Linked DNA regions of Mus musculus: region 2 is reported to be linked to region 1. The links are microRNA targets in miRTarBase. Many come from high-throughput screens and were not tested one by one. Region 1 holds a microRNA gene; the other region holds the end of a gene's coding sequence.

Region 1 (3,409 bases):
TCATACTAAATTATAAGCATTTCTCCCAGGATAGGAAATGTTCTTAAAGGAGATCCTGAGTGAGGTAACCCAATCACAAAAGGACTCAAATGATATGTACTCACTGATAAGTGGATATTAGCCCAGAAACTTAGTATACCCGAGATATAAGATACAATTTGCAAAACACATGAAACTCAAGAAGAAGGAAAACCAAAGTGTGGACACTTTGCCCCTTCTTAGAATTGGAAGCAATCACCCATGGAAGGAGCTACAGAGACAAAGTTTGGAGCTGAGACAAAAGGATGGACCATCTAAAGACTGTCATATCCAGGGATCCATCCCATAATTAGCCTTCAAACGATGACACCATTGCATACACTAGCAAGCGTTTGCTGAAAGGACCCTGATATAGCTGTCTCGTATGAGGCTATGCCAGTGTCTGACAAATACAGAAGTGGATGCTCACAGTCAGCTATTGGATGGATCACAGGGCCCCCAATGGAGGAGCTTGAGAAAGTATCCAAGGAGCTAAAGAGATCTGCAACCCTGTAGGTGGAACAACAATATGAACTAACCAGTACCCCGGAGCTCTTGACTCTAGCTGCATATGTATCAATAGATGGCCTAGTTGGCCATCACTGGAAAGAGAGACCCATTGGACACGCAAACTTTATATGCCCCAGTACAGGGGAACGCCAGGGCCAAAAAGTGGAAATGGGTGGGTAGGGGAGTAGGAGGGAGGGTATGGGGGACTTTTGGGATAGCATTGGAAATGTAATTGAGGAAAATAGATAATAAAAAATATATAAAGAAGGAGATATCTGATGGATTTGATTGAGATTTTAATAACAATAATAATAATAATTTTCATTTTATCAGAGACTTTGCAAATGAAACACTGGACATGAGACATCACTCAGGTCTGAATCACTCATAACTCGTCTCCTCTTCTTTTCTAGCCAGTCTTTTTGCAGTGAGATACTTGTGTGGTTGGGGGTCACCACAACGTAAGGAACTGTCTTAAAGGGTGATGGGATTAGGAGGGTTGCGAACCACTGAGCTAGAGTTAAGCTCTCAGGCCTTAAATTTCAGCCTAAGGCTGAGAGCTGGGAAATGTGCAAGGTTTGGAGTCGGTAGAATAGCAGCCTGGGTGATGATTATCCCTTGCCTATGGTAAGAAGAAGTGGACAAAAAACTATCTGTCAAATTATAAGACAAAAGACTGTTTTCTATTTGTGGTTTATTTTCTTAACCTGAAGGCCACGTTGATTCTTCTGTGTTTCTTTTGTTTTGTTTTGTGTTTTTGTGGAGCTAATTGGCTGTATTAAAGTGCTAGTAAGAAACATTCTCCTCCAGCTGGAGAGATGGCTCAGCTGTTAAAGGCTAGGCTCACAACCAAAATATAAGAACCACTCTTCTCCTAAGAGGATGTTAATACGTTTCTTCAATGACCTGGTTTGTCAGGTGATTAAAAAAAATGGCTATCTGAACTTCAACAACAACAAAACCATTTTATTTTATTTTGTGTGCACACAGATGTGTGAGGCTTCACAGTTGGAGGTCAGAGGACAATTTTTCAGGAATCAGCTCTCCCCTTCCTTCGTGTGGGTTCCCAGGACCAAGCTCAAGTCACTGGGCTACAGAACATGACTTTGTTTCCCACAGTCAGAAAGACAGTACATTTTCTTCCTTCTGTCTACAATAGATCATCTTTTTATTGCTTAGTTTGATTTTACTATGTGGACATGCCTGTTAGTTTATCGGTGCGTCTCCTGCTCGTTGTACAAGCTCTTTGTTGCTGTGTAACAGATTTTCCAAACTGCAGCTGTTTAAAAAATAAGTATCCATTCACCCACTAACCATTTCCACAAGAGAAATGTTTGGTGATAACATAGTTAAGTGCCCCTATTATTTTCCATGATAATGAGATGCTGGCCAGGTTGTTCTGCATCTGAAATCCTTTGGAAGTTGAGCTGGACTGGAAATTTGTTTCTGAAGTGGCACACACCCAATCCTCAGTGCATAGTAGGTGGTCATCAAATTCATGTGGCTAGAGCAGTGGTTCTCAACCTGTGGGTCATGACGCCTTTGCATATAAGATACATATGATTCATAATGGTAGCAAAGTTATAGTCATGAAGTATCATGAGATACTTGTGTGGTTGGGGGTCACCACAACGTAAGGAACTGCCTTAAAGGGTGATGGGATTAGGAGGGTTGAGAACCACTGAGCTAGAGTTAAGCTCTCAGGTCTTAAATTTCAGCCTAAGGCATTTTAATGTATTTTCTTTCCTATATATGGTAAGCTGAAGAGAATTACTGTTTGAATGGAGATTGCTGATAATTTACACTTTCTGCTTTCATTGACAAGAAGTGACCCATTTCCCAATGGAAGGAGAGCTACCAAAATAACTTGTGAGTTCAGGTTTAGGGACTTGTCCATACTATAGAAGTAGGGCAGACCTGGTGGAGTTGTGTAAAAGCACCCTGTGCTTCAATCTCTGTGTCTTAGGGACGTAAGGGCACGCCACTCATCACATTTAGGTTTACAGACCTGTTAGTGGTTATTGTGCAGTGTACAGTGGATATTTGTTTTATTTATTTATTTGATTTGATTTATTCATGTCCAATGCAAGCACAATGGACAGGCTAACTTTTGTACCCCTTTGGGGGTTTGATATTATATAGTATGATAGGAAGATGGAATTGTTTACTTTATAAGGGTCATCAAAGTACAAGGGTCCCATGTGTCTGACTAGTCTATGTAATCACCATTAATGTTAAGATGGTGAAATGGCTCCAAGGCCACACTCAACAGGACCAGCCAGCCCCCTCCCCTCCCTGTGATCTTCCATTAGCAATGTCTAGATATAGCCCTTATTTCAGGGACACATCAGTGTAGAGACTGGGAGAAGAAGGAAGAGGTCCACTTTGTCATTGTTCTTTTGTACTCTAGTCTAATACGATGAAGTAGCCTAAGGAGATATGAGAGGGGAGAGCCTGGTATGCTGGCAAACAGCTACTGCTGACACATGGGCTTTGTTTAAATTCTGAATGGCCTTGTGCCCTGATTATCTTGTGTATCTTTGCATTTCACAGATCTTGTCCCATTCATTTGCTGTACATCCAATCTGGGTGTTTGGTAGATGACCAAAAGGTAGAGCCTTTTTCTAATGAATATTACAAAAATTAATAATTATGAGCCAGGGTCCTTCAGATAAGCAGAACCAGGAGGAAATTTATCTGGATTATAAGAAACTGGATTATGTGGCTATGGAGTGTGGTTATCAGCAAATGTGCACAGTTCCTGCCTGTTTTACTGGGCTGCAGGTCCAGGAAAAGCTCACGTTTCTCAGAGAAGCCTGTATGGGGCCATTTATTTTATTGTGACTTTTATCTGATAGGCAGAGGTCCACTCCTCTGATAA
Region 2 (3,409 bases), not on the chromosome of region 1:
TCAGTTATGGAGAGAGTGCCAACCTCAGGGTACCTACTCACTGCGTGCTTCTCCCCTCTCCTCTCCTGTCCATCCTGGTCACCTTTTTCCAGGTATGGTTAGGGGAGCACAGGCTCTGAGATTTTGTGCCTTGGTTGGTCCCAGGAAGGAAGCATGGTTATAGGATGGCCATGGGGGGGGGGGCAGCCGGGAGTCTTCTGGTTGGTGCCTCAATTCCAAGGAAACTTCCCCTGGACTCATATGTCTTGTCTTAACCTTCCAGGGCTTTTTCAACAGAGGCCACGGCGCACCTCCAGGGGGCCCTGGACCCCGCCAGCAGCAGGCAGGTGCCCGACTGGGTGCTGCCCAATCTCCTTTCAGTGACCTGAACCGGCAGCTGGTGAACATGGGCTTCCCACAATGGCACCTTGGGAACCACGTGGTGGAACCTGTGACCTCCATCCTCCTGCTCTTCCTGCTTATGATGCTCGGGGTTCGTGGCCTCCTGCTTGTGGGCCTGGTCTACCTGGTGTCTCACCTGAGTCAGCGGTGACCTCCGGGGGACTCATGAGGGCGGGAGTGTTCAGTAGGATTGACTGGACTGGGCTTTGGTGCGACATCATGCACAGGGGGAGGGAGCTTGGGTGGGCTCAGAAGGTGTGATGGGCATGAGACCGGCTTTGTAGATTTTTCTCCCGCTGCAGGAGGCAGAGGGACTCTCTGGGCCAGCATTGCTGAAAAAGAGAGTCCTGTGGTTTCCTGGAATGTTTTTAGGGGGCATAGGGCTTCCGCTAAAAAGCACAAGCAGGAATAAGAAAGGCTTAGTATGTTGTATTCTCCCAGAACACAAATCTTCTACCAGGCGCAAACCCGGAGCTGAGAGCAGCTGGGAACTGTCCAGAGTTTTATAGCAATCCTTCATTTTAATGGTGTCCTTTTTTTATTGGCTGATTTTATGTATAAGGAAGGATATTGACATTCTATTTATCATGATCTTTCCTTTTCTTTGGGTTTTCCAAGACAGAGGAGTCTCACTGTGTAGCCTTGGCTGGCCTGGAACTCACCATGGAGACCAGGTCGGCCTCCAGCTCACAGAGATCCTCCTGTGTCTTCCTCCCAAGTGTTGGGACCAAAGGTGTGTGATACTGTGCCCAGCTATTGTGATATTTTCAATAAATAAATTGGAGTCCCTTTTAAGAAGCCGGTGAATGACTGACTCACGGCTGCCCTGCCTGAAGAAGCTGGTGGGGTGGCTGGGTTTGGAGAAGAGGTGATAGGGCCTTTGACCTTGTGATGTCGGGGATTTTTCTCAGACAGGGTGCTGGGAGGTGAGGTACAGGCTTGGACCCCTTGCCTAGTGCTGTGGGGAGCTCTAGGCACCCCAATACTCTGAACCCCAAGGTCAGCTTTTGGGGTGGGGGTAGAGTCCTTAGGATGACTGGGGGCGGAGTGTGTAAGGAGTGAAAGAATGGAGTGTATTGAATGTCTGAGGTCTGTCTTGCTCAGGGGCTCAACCCAGGGGCTGCTCAGGTTCGTTCGTCCAGCCATCAGCAGCTCTCAGAAGTCCTGGCCATAGTGAGCTCTCCTTAGCAGGTCTCAGGACCAGGGAGCCCTGATTTCCTGACAGGAGACATGGGTTTGGCTGGTGCTCTCTCTCTCTCTCTCTGCAGTCGTGGTTGTCCTAGAACTCACTCTGTAGACTGGCTGGCCTGGAGGTCCCAGCGCCTGGATTAAAGGCATGTGCCACCACCACCCTGCAGATCTTGAATTCGAGTCTTCACCGGAGACTGCCTGAGAGAGGCAGTAGGTGGGTGGCCTTTCAGGTCTGGTGGGCTCAGGGTGATGGCTCCAGGAGAATGAAGCCTGAAGACCCAGCCTGCCTTGGTACCAGCAACCTCCCCCTCCCAGGTCCCTGAGGGTAACTGTGTGTGGCCAGGGGTGGCTGACGACTGCAGATGCTATTCTCTTCTCCTGACCTTGCTCTTCTGATTGAAACAACCTCCCTCAGGCCATGTGCCTGTCCACTGCTCCCTGGGGCTGGGATCCTCTGTCAGGGTGGATCCCTCACCAAAGGTTTCCTGAGTCTTCTGCGCATGACAGGAGGGGACATGGGCGCATTCTTGGTGGAAAAGGAGTGTAGCTGTCAGCTGCTCGCGATCTCAGCTGTTCACAGTGACATCTCACACCCTCGCAGGTCGGCCTGCTCCCTTCCCCAGCCACAATAGACTGCCTGCCCCCATCCTGCTCCCCAGAGCCATCTTGTTTCTCAGGGTCCTCTTTCAGTCTGCGGGACTTGTTTCATGCATGGAATACCTTAAGGGATGCGAATTAGGGTCCTCATGTAACACACTGGAGCGTCACAGTTGAAAGGGGCCTTTGTGGAAACGCAGTCTCCTTTTCTAAAGTCAAAGAGTCCACACCCTGTGAAGAGAATCCATGTGTCATTGAAGACAGTGAGCAGGCTTTCAGGTTCCGAAGAGAGACCCAGAGGCAGCAAGGTCTCACCTGGAAGTGAGCAAGGCGGCCACGGCAGACCTACTGCAGTTAGGACACAGGGCAAAGGGAATTGGGGCTGTGTCCTGACTCTGTGTCCTTGGCCTCTGGGTTCATTGACACTGCTCTGTTTGATTCTTCAACCATAGGTCTGAAAGTGCTAAGACGACCTGATCCAATCCAGGCAGAGGTGCCCGGCCCTGCCCTTGGAAGGGTGGCCTGTGTGGTCCAGGGCTTAGAGAGCCCAGGCTGGCTTTGAATTTGCAATGCTCTTGCTTCAGCCTCCCAAGTAGCAGGGATTATAGGCATGCGATGCTGTGACAGTGCTATTATCATTGTTTTATTATTTGGGGATTGAGCCCAGGGCCTTGGCACGTGCTAGGCACACACACCTCTGAGCTACACCTACAATCCCCTTTCTGACTTTCATTTTATTTACTTTTCATAAGTTGTCCACTCTGGCTTTGAACTCACGCTGTAGTACAAGTGGGCCTTGAACTTAGGAGCCACCTCCCTCAACTTCTCAAGGAAATAGGAATACAAATTTATACCACCTGGGCCAGTTTCTTAGAATTTATGCCAATGTGAACAGACATGAATATTTGAACGTGTAGGTTTTTTTTTCATTTACTATATATACTAATTTATTTTATGTATGAGTGCTCTATCTGTATGTACATGTGCATACCAGAAGAGAGCATCAGATCACATTGCAGATGGTTGTGAGCCACCATGTGGTTGCTGGGAATTGAACTCAGACAGTGCTCCTAACTACTGAACCACCTCTCCAGCACCGAATTTTTCGTTTTTATATATCACAATAAGCTAAACACATTTCCCTTCTTTAGTTCTTGGCTATCTGGGCACATTTTATGGTCAAGAATTTCATTCCATGGGATTTTAGTATGGGGTGAGTTGTGGTCCTTTTTTTTTTACC

What was found. The annotated mature microRNA mmu-miR-690 reads AAAGGCUAGGCUCACAACCAAA and lies in region 1 at 1,361-1,382, shown strand. An mRNA with a match to its seed (bases 2 to 7 or 8) in the 3' UTR can be bound and repressed. Matches are read on the target gene's strand: a 7mer-m8 pairs with bases 2 to 8, a 7mer-A1 pairs with bases 2 to 7 and ends in A, and an 8mer does both.
Region 2: the mRNA of Fam241b is a reported target of mmu-miR-690. Seed matches in the 3' UTR shown: 7mer-m8 at 1,019-1,025.

What each region holds. Positions count from the first base shown.
Region 1 is chr16:28,597,913-28,601,321 of GRCm38, reverse strand. Mir690 (microRNA 690) reads left to right here and starts at 1,279; the gene lies at 1,279-1,387. It also overlaps a transcript of Fgf12 not described here.
Region 2 is chr10:62,105,977-62,109,385 of GRCm38, reverse strand. Fam241b (family with sequence similarity 241, member B) reads left to right here. Exons shown (of 4, transcript NM_027251.4): 4 at 263-1,730. The coding sequence ends at 532. Among named protein-coding and RNA genes, the nearest start is that of Fam241b, 3.4 kb to the left of the region's middle.